2 linked regions of the Macaca fascicularis genome follow. The protein of the gene in region 1 interacts with the protein of each later gene in a biochemical or structural test. Links are inferred from orthologs where the notes say so. Each region holds a gene or a part of one and is shown on either strand. Other genes may lie near its edges.

Region 1 (4,839 bases):
AACGTCCAAATGTTTTCATTTCATTCTTTGACCTGGTTGGGACTCCACTCTTTAGGGAGTCATCTGAGCTTTTAAGCCTCCTTGATTAAGTGTGAGTTATTCTAAAAGACTTAGAGAACTTTCAACGATGATACACATCAATGGGAATGTGTTCAATAAGATTTATTTCAACACCTTGCTGGGTTGGGGTTACTTCAGGAATTAACAGAACTGTGTGTTTTGTTTTGTCTTGTGTTTGGAGACAGGGTAGACCGCAGTGGGAAGGGTACATAATGGAGAATCACGAAATACCTTGAGCGGACCCTGAGACCTGCTTAGAGTTAGGGGAAAACTGGAGAGGTTCAAGGATAGAAGAACTCAGGGTTGTTCAGGTGTGACATGGGTTACGTGGGCATTTCTGGATTGCTCTGGGAAGGTAAACAACCATTATAATATTGTTACCCTGGAAAAATGCAACTTGAAATCCAAATAACTAACTTGCAAAGTAACTTTTGAAATATCACCCATTCCAACTGAATTCTTAAATGGGAGGCTTCTTATATGGGAACTCAGGAAGAAAGAGAGATCCCCAGGCAGCATTTGGTGTGGCACTGGGAAAACAAAGATAGGTCAAAAGCTTAAAGCATAGAATGAGTTACAGCTGGAAGAACATTTGTCCCTGGGGTCCGAGGCAGGCATGACCTGTTGAAAACCCCAGGCCAGCAAAGACACCTGTCCAGGGCTCCATAAAAAATATTTCCTGCATTTAAGGAGAGGAGGTTTAAGGCACTCGGGCTATGTTGAGTCTTCATTCTAGAATCTTGGGACAGCGTATTCCCTTTTAACTCCTGGGGAGTCCAGGGCCTTGGTCTGAGTTTAGCTTCCTCCTAGGAACCCGGGTGGAAAGGAGAGACAGGTAAGAACTCCGCAGAGTCAGGGAAGCCTGGGTTTGAGGAAGCAGAGGGAGGAGACCTGGATCTAGTTACAAAGGAGTTGTAAGACCCAGGGACAATTCTACGTGCTGGGTGTGAAAGGGGAGGGGGCTCAGGAGGACCGAGTGAGGGCACTGAGGCAGGACGCACGCACCCGGCGAAGGTGCGGTGTGGGCGCCCACGGAGTGGGGGAGCTGGGACGAAAGGGGGACTGCGGTGGGCTGGAGAGAAGCGGGACGGGGAAGGCGCTCGGGAAGCTGTCCCCTCGGCGTCGTGCGCTCCGGGGACGGAGGCGGGGAGGTCTGGGCGGGCGAGCGGCGTGTGACCGCCAAGGCTGGGGCGGCTGGAACAGGTGAGCGGCCGCTGGGTTGTGGGTCCCCGCCCTTCACCGCCAGCGTGCCTCCTCCCACGGACTCTCCCCAGCGCTGAGCTGCTCCGCGGCTCCCCTTGGTTTGGGGTTTTGCAACTGGCTGCTGGCTTTTTTCCCCTCCCCTGTCTCGGTCTCTCCTTCTTCTTTTAGGTTGCTCCACCCCGCCCAGGATCAGGAGAGGGGGAACCAGCCTGACTGCGGCTGCCAACTCCCGCCGAGTGCGTCTGCGAACTCCCGGAGCGGAGTCCCGCGTGCCGCCACCTCCTCACGGGGCGCACTCTCCTCGCTCCCCCGGGCCCCGCGTCCTCCCCCCGGCCACCCTTCCCCACTTTTCCCCCCTTTTCCAATCACATGGCATTTTAAGAATGCCGGAAAGATGGCGGTAGCGGCGGCGGCGGCGGCGGCGGCGGCGGCTGGGCCGGCAGGCGGGGGAGGCGGCCGGGCGCAGCGGAGCGGGCTGCTGGAAGTTTTGGTGCGGGATCGCTGGCACAAAGTTCTGGTGAACTTGAGCGAGGACGCCCTGGTTCTGAGCAGCGAGGAGGGCGCTGCGGCGTACAACGGCATTGGGACCGCCACCAATGGCTCGTTCTGCAGGGGCGCCGGGGCTGGGCACACGGGCGCGGGCGGCGCGCAGCCCCCGGACTCGCCCGCCGGGGTCCGCACCGCCTTCACCGACCTGCCGGAGCAGGTGCCCGAGTCCATCTCGAACCAAAAGCGCGGCGTGAAGGTGCTGAAGCAGGAGCTAGGCGGGTTGGGGATCAGCATCAAGGGGGGCAAGGAGAACAAGATGCCCATCCTCATCAGCAAGATCTTCAAGGGGCTGGCGGCGGACCAGACCCAAGCCCTGTACGTGGGCGACGCCATCCTGTCCGTGAACGGAGCCGACCTGCGGGACGCCACCCACGACGAGGCGGTGCAGGCGCTAAAGCGCGCGGGCAAGGAAGTGCTGCTGGAAGGTAAGGGGTTAACCGCGCGCGGGCAGCGCCGGGCGCGCACACACCTGCTCGGCTTCCCACCCGCACGCTCACACTCACACCACACTCGACCACGTGCCGACACACCCCAGGGGGCCGAATGTGTGTGTGTGGGTGGGGGAGAGGGCGGAGGAATTGGCAGCATAGAGTTTTGTCAACTTTTACCCACCCTGGGGGCAATTAGTCTCCAGTCCGCAGGGTTGGCTTTAACCCAGGAGGGGTGTATGGAAAAGCGAGGCTAGCAGGGTTTCCCAGCCGGATTGCTGCTTAGTATACGTTGTTTCATTTTTGTCTGCGAGTAATCCTAGTAGAGTGTAGGGATTGGGATATGGAATCGAGAATGAAGGGTGAACTTAGAATATTCCTACATCCAACGTTGCCAAGCAGGGCTACTGCGTAATTGCAACTCATAGTTTTCCGCTTTGGCAAAATTTCCCACTCTAAAGCCTGGGCAACCCAGCAGAAGAGGATTGACTCATAAAGGGGTGAGAGAGAGGTGGCAATATTGTGAATGCTAAAACTCCGACTATCCTTCTGGACGTTCCCCCTGCAAATGGGGGACTAGGGTTATGCCTGGAGAGTTGTGTCAGGGGCCGGGAAATTCGTTGCAGTTTTGGGGAAAATTCACTTTCCCTGCCGGGCATCTGGCCGGTCAGTCTGGATTCCAGGTTCCTCTGGGTGGAGAGCTGGTGAAGTGGTTTTTCTGGCTGCGTTTTCTGGAGCCCTTTCTGAGTGGTGTGGAAACAACTTTGCATTTGTAAACAGTTCCCCCTGCGTGTGAGGAGCCTAGAAACTACTCTCTGTCTCTCGAGATCTGATGTCCCCAGTCCCCTCATTATTGAATGTGAATAGAATAGGAACCACCTATTTACAGTTTTGCACTGTTCATGGCTATGTTGAGTTATGTCGGGGAGAAGGGCATATTGGTAGTAAACTGAATTCTCCTGTTTGGCTACAGCTGCATTTCTCACTTGTTTCTCTTCTCTTTAGTGCTGTGTACATACCTCTGTCAGCACTAATAACGTGTAATTATTTTATCTATTTACTCAGCCTAGCCTACCTATAGATTGCGGTATCTGGAGTCTTTTATTTAGCGGTGGATCTCTCTTGGAGCTTAGTTGCTCCATGTCATACATACTGAGTAAATGAATAAATGAACCTATAGCTATTGAAATAGACTATTTCATCTGAGACCATGTAATATGGTGATTGATTTAAGCCCTAAAGACGTAAGTCAATTTCCTGCTTACTTAGTCGTGGCACTGGTGTGTGAAACTGAGAAAGTTTAAAGCAAGGGTGCCAGCATCACTAGTGTGTGACAGCTGATGCAACTCCCTGGTATGTCATGGCCCACCTCCTGGCCCACAATACAGAGAAGTTCTCCCCCACCAACCTTGTTTGTCTAGAGGATTTGCGATGTCTTCATAGTCAATTACCACCCTGGACCCAGACAGTGGAAAGCTATTTGCTTTGGCTTGATGATTAACATAACAGGAAAAAAAAGTTTTCTTGACTCCAGTGTGTGTTGGTTTGTGTGACAAGGGTCAGGTGGGATCTGGGGCAAGTGTTATTTGGAATATAAACTGTTGGGCACCTGCTCAGTTTGCAATACTTACTGTAAATACCGGGGTAGGGGTTGGGGGTGGGGCGGAAGGCGGGTCATTTTATTTTAGGTACTATCCTTTATTATGTCCCTACTTTTCTTCCTCTGCTTGCTTTCAATTTAACGAATAATTACTTGGCAAAGAGGTAAAAAATATCTCTCACCCAAAAAGAGGAAGAAATTTCTCTGCAATTGAAAATAAACTTAGAGAAAGAAAAAAAATCAAGCAATTATGTGACTTTCAGTTTCTTGAAACAGAAACTGAAAAGTGAGTTTGGTAAAAACCTCTAACATGACATTCTTAGAACACTTTGTCATTTGTCATAGGCAGGACCTCTGGAGAAACACTGTGGGTCTCCTAGATATGAACATTTTTGGCTCAGTGTAGCAGCCTTATCCTCAGCCCAAGTTTTTCAAAATCAGCTGCTGTTAAGGGAAGCGGAGGCCCTCCTCAGAACAGTGTCTCTTATTCTGAGCCAAAGTGTTCGTTCTCAATGCAATGGTAGTCATCAAATACCATCAAGTCAAATATCACAATCCTCTCTTTTGTAGCTTAGCCTAATACTGGGATTCCCAGTTGAAGGGGCTTATTAGGACCACTTCAAGGGCTTTTTAAAAAGACATACCTACTTCTTCATATTCTAACATGCAGTGTGGATTCCAGAGTTTCTACATAGGAGAGGTTTTGAAGATGTAATCTGGTTACATGACAGGGCAAAGGGAAATGTTTTGAAGGTACATTTGTATAGCAAGTACACCCTTTTTTCCGGCTAGATTCCTTTTTGTTTGTTTATTGGGGGAGTAAATGGAGATTAGTTTAGTACTCCAACCACCGCCCACACGCACCCCACTGCATGACATGCGCCCCCTGGTGGAGAGCTACTACCTCTACGAGTGGAACACCCTGTAAAGTGAAACCCTGGAAAAGTTTCAATGCCTGCATTCTAGGCATAGATTCCGCCACAGAATTAACATAACCTC
Region 2 (4,924 bases), on another chromosome or scaffold:
ACTTTCTGGGCCTAAATTATTTGTTCTGTAAATATGGATATGGACAGATCTACCTCACAGGGTTGTTACGTGCTATCAGACAGTAGTAGCACAGTGCCTGGAATATGGTGAGCATTACAGAGTTGTCATTATAGTCGTTATGTACTACAGTTACTTTATACTCTTAGGAGTGAGTGGATTGGTTTGTCCAAGGTGTAGTAGAAACTGCAGCTCAAACTCTTCTCTCAAATGATGGAAACCAATTCATTGACAAAGATAGTCTTCAGAGAAGGATCATCCTCCCCTCCTAACATGAAGAAAAATCCTTCATTACCTGTTTTTATTCATTAAGGATCACTATTAATGAACAAAAAACGGGCTGAATACAGGTTCCTGAGAAAAGACACTCTTCTCAAATTTGCCTTTTAGCAGATCTTACCAACATCTCTTACAACTGCGGAGTTCCTTTCAAGTTATTTGGGATATATGTTTCTTCCATCAAGAGGAGAAAAAAAAAGGGGGGCACTAAAAGGCAAATGGGATACAAGAAAAGATTAACCTGGATGACTGCCTATATGAGAACTTCTTGAGAACAGAATTCCAGCCTCATTCATCTTGGTAACCCTGGTAGGGTGTCTAGACTGATTATAGGAGCTCAAATATAGCCTGTCTAAATTCTAGGTGTTTACCACACACTTTATTCTTCCCAATAGCATTTCAAAGTGGGTACCACCAATCTCATTTTATAGATAAGAAAAAGGTAAAGCCCTGATTGTTAAACAACTACTCAACCTTACAAAAGTGCAGAACCAATCTGTTCTAAAGTTAATTCCCTTTTTCCATGTGAATGTCTCAAAAATGTTTGGTGAATGAATACAGAATTAAAATCAAATTCTGGAGATGCCTTTTATTTCAGATCCATGATCCAGGAATATGACTCTAGACAAGGGAGGTTTCTTTAGGTAATGTTTCTCTCCTTCCCTTTAAAAGAGCTCAAAGCCAAAAATATAAGCCAGACATTATCAAAGAGCAAATGAATGTCTAGAAATAAACTGAGCATTTATAGAAGGATACACTAATTTGAACTTTGGGAAACAGGTGTTAAAATTTCAGATCACTTAATATTAAAACATGCCTTGGGGGAAAAAATGTAATATGTAACTGCAAACTGTTGATGTATTTACAAAAAATAGTTTCTGACTTTGTAAGTTGTTACACAATACACTGAGTTTCTTATGGTTATAATCTTTCCTTTCCACTGAGATCATTCAGTCCCTCACTTGGATTGCTTTAAATGTAATGTGCTCAGTTAGAAGTAGAAGCTGGAGTTAGGATTGCTTCACCGGGGCTAAATATTAGTCACTTTGCTCAACCCTCATTTGCCCTCTCCAGTCCCCACCCAACTCTCATTTTTCAGCCACACTCCACCAAATGCATACTTAGTGCTTGTGGTTCCAGTGACACAACACATTCAAGCTAACCTGTCTGTGGAAAGTTGGCAACCCTCTGAGTTCAGACTGGGGTTAGCCATGAAGCATGGGGTGACAGGAAATGGCATCCAGTAGTCACTCCTTCCTCTGGTCCAGTCTTTTTCACATCACCTTCATCACTGCCCGCTATTTTATTCTTCTGCTGTGTCTCCTTTGGGACCCAAGAGGGAAGAAGGACATGAAATAACAGCTGTCCTAATGCCACTAACCAGCCCTAACGCAACGCAGCCTAGTCCTACTTATTTCTCCGGGAAAGGCAATCAAAAAACAATTATAGAGAAACCACTCCTCATTTCCTCTTCTATGTCTCTCGTGTGTGTGAGTGTGAGTGTGTGTAAAATTTTAATTTCCCTGGAATTGGAACTACAAAAGTCCCTCCTCAGCCCTACCGGGAAAGTGGTATTGGGCACGACCGCCCTTTCCAAGGCAGTCTGCAATCGTTTTCGCGGAAGTAGAGGAGAAAAGCGGGTAGAGAAGGGAGCTGCCATGCAGCATCCGTTGGGAAAACAGTTCGCACGTGAGCGGGCTCGCACGTGAGCGGGCTCGCAGCCTGTGGCGCCACCTGACCGGGCCTAGTGCCCCCAGTGTGGTGCAGTAGCTCAGGAAGCCCAGCAGGCACAGGCCCTCCTGAACCCTTGCCAAGTCAGCGCTCCCTTTCTGCCTGGGCTCAGGCCTCGCCCGCATACACTTTTCCATCTGCTTCCACCCCTGCCATCCTTCCTGGGGACCAAAAATGAAGAAAGACAACCCCCACGCCCCAATCCCCCGGTATTTCGTCTTCCCCTCGCAGCCTCTTCCTGTCCTGATCATCTGCTCAAAGAGAAGACGTTCCCTACACACACCCTCACCACCCCCACCTCCACCTTGTGCAGCAATGAAGCCACGCTACCCTAGGGGGTTCGGGGGCCGGATGCTGGCAGGGCGCGCACTAGAGACACGCCGCACGCAAGCAGCCCTCCGAGTCTCGTGAGCCAGGGAGACTGGGGTGCACCGCGCCACGCTGAGTCTAGGTGTAAAAGCCTAGAGCGTGGGTACCTCCTGGCCGAAAGCACGCGGGGCGTTCCTTGCCCGGGACCCCGCACACCCCCAGCAGCTCCCGGGCCGCTGTCGGCGCTCACTGGCTGACGCGAGCTCTCCTCCCGCGGCCGCTTCGGGGTTTTTTGTCTATATAAGGGCTCGCTGGCCAACTCTGCGTTGGCACGTTTGTCACAGGCTGGCCATTATTTGCACACACGCGTGCGGCTCCGCGGGCAGCTCGGGTCGCAGACGCGGGCTTTCGCTCCTCTTCGCCTGCGCCGCCTCCTCGTCCTCCTCCTCCGCCCCCCTCCCTCCCCAGCTGTACTTACTTTATCTGGTCTCTGGCGCAGGGTGGGCGCTGCAGCTCTCTGTTCCCCGCAAGCCGCAGCCGGTTCGCCTTGCTGTCAACGGGTGAATGGAATTATTTATTTATTTATGGCCCCTGACGTGTCCTCGCCCGCCACAGCCAGCGGAAAAGGAGGCGGCGGCGGGAAGGGGAGGCGCGGCTGCTGAACGCCCGTGTGGGTGCGGAGGAGCGCGCGCCGGGGGTGGGGGCCGGACAGACTGCGGTGGAGGCCGGCCCGGGGGGTGGTGGGGGGGAGCCGCCTCCCGGTGCCTGGAGACCGACTGAGCATGCTCCAAGCGGCTGTCAAAGCTATAGGCAATTTCTCTATCGCTCGGGGCACTCCACTTCGGATTTTAGTTTTGACCAAGGAAGAAAGCCAAAAGGCAGGTAGATCTGTCGTTTCAGATGGGTCGTGACTTGCTGTATCCGAAGTACTCTGTAGCCTGACCTAGGAGTCAGGTGTGGGGTAGCTCTGTCTAGATATTCCAGAGAGTTGTGTAACCCATGCATGGGAGAGGAAAGCATGCAAAAAGAGAAGAGTCTGGCCGAATGCAGGGAGAATAGGAGATCCTCACTGTGAACTTGCAGTGAAAGTGTTGAGCCATTTTTCAACTGAGGCCTTTTTGGGAGAAGGAGGTAGTGCACTGTTGGAGATTAGACTCACTAACCAAATCACTTTACAGAAAAAAATAAAATTGACACCATAGGAGGAAGGGTATGGAAAACAGCACCAAAAGACATTAAAAATAAGGATTTTTTTTTTTTTTTCAAATCATTTATAAGTAATTCCTTTCATTTTTGGTTTCTCCAATTATTTAGTTCTTCAAACCAGCATTTAGTTATTTGACAACGAATAGTGCTAGAGATAATGGTAATTGTGCAGTCATTGGTTTGGTCTCTTCCTCTGTCTAAAATATGCTTCTTGGGAAAGTTGGAAAGAGGAAGGGCTGGAAGAGAACGTTTAACCTACCCCAAAGATTGAGTTTCTTTAATAACTTTAAGTTAAATTGCCACTTTAGAGAAAAAGAAACTATCCAAAAGAATAATTGTAGGTTTTGACTTGACAAGTCCTATTGCAGTTTGTCTACCAGTTTAACTAGCTTTCTCCTCCTTGATTTCACAATAATCCTTTTAAGATGTGTTCTATGATTCTTCACATTTTACAAATTTATAAAAAGATAGTTAAGTCATTTGGGTAAATTCACACTGTCTTTTGCCGCAGCTAGTCTGTTGTAATGGACAAAATTTGAATTTCAATTTCTGTAGCTATGAAATAAAAGTAATATCAATCTTGGGTTGATTTCATAAGATTTAAGTGAAATAATATACATGAAGTGGCTGGTAGGCATAATATAAGGTGAATAAATAATGGTGATTAATAACTTCAAAATTATTGGAAGATAATTTTATTGAAAGAATGATATTTGAAACTGAAAAAAAAGGCAGAAAATTACAGAAAGGATTTTATATTTTTAAGCTAAAAATGCTTAAATAGACGTTTGTGTAAGACATAATAGGCATTTTGATAATGATGGAATGTCTAGCAGTGACTCTAAATACTTCATTTAATTACAAAAAAGTTAAACATTTCAAAGAAACAACATGAAGGCACATTTCAAGGTCATATTCTTGAGTGTTTGCTATTGACATTTTTCCTGCTCATTCATCACTTTTATTTCCTGTCAAAGAAGAGGAAGAAGACCATATGCTTTCTGAATTTCGATCCTATTCTCCCTTTTCCTTCTCTTTGATTTTTCTTTTTTGTTGTTTTTTTTCTTATAGTCCCATGTTCTTGGCTTGTTTAACCTATTGCTGAATGCCAAACATCACTACTTATAGCATGATATCATAACCTTCTTTTTAAGTCTTGTTTTTTCAACAATTAAAATTCTGGATCTAATTTACCTACTGTCACAGAGTTAGTATTTGGGAACTCATTTCTAAATTGCTTTGTTGTGGTAACTAGGTATGTTACGTAAAATTTGATTTGACTAGAAAGGAATCTGAAAGGAGGGAGAATCAGCTAAGAATAAATTCAGCCAATTTATCCTATTACTTATAGTTTAATATTGTTAAGAAATGGAGAAAAAAA

What was found. The genes of interacting proteins can lie anywhere in the genome.
Region 2: the proteins of SNTB1 (region 1) and SLC16A7 interact in a test that uses a peptide from one of them, tested with the Homo sapiens proteins (2 studies listed by IntAct, with this or other methods). The link is inferred for Macaca fascicularis from reciprocal best matches to the Homo sapiens genes SNTB1 and SLC16A7.

The regions. Positions count from the first base shown.
Region 1 is NC_088382.1:130,428,305-130,433,143, reverse strand, and holds the start of SNTB1 (beta-1-syntrophin), read left to right. Parts: upstream 1-1,454; 5' UTR 1,455-1,657; coding exon 1,658-2,237; intron 2,238-4,839. UniProt on the Homo sapiens protein: Adapter protein that binds to and probably organizes the subcellular localization of a variety of membrane proteins. May link various receptors to the actin cytoskeleton and the dystrophin glycoprotein complex.
Region 2 is NC_088385.1:66,480,033-66,484,956, reverse strand, and holds the start of SLC16A7 (monocarboxylate transporter 2), read right to left. Parts: upstream 3,055-4,924; 5' UTR 2,816-3,054; exon of another isoform or gene 2,505-2,815; intron 1,621-2,504; exon of another isoform or gene 1,461-1,620; intron 1-1,460. UniProt on the Homo sapiens protein: Proton-coupled monocarboxylate symporter. Catalyzes the rapid transport across the plasma membrane of monocarboxylates such as L-lactate, pyruvate and ketone bodies, acetoacetate, beta-hydroxybutyrate and acetate.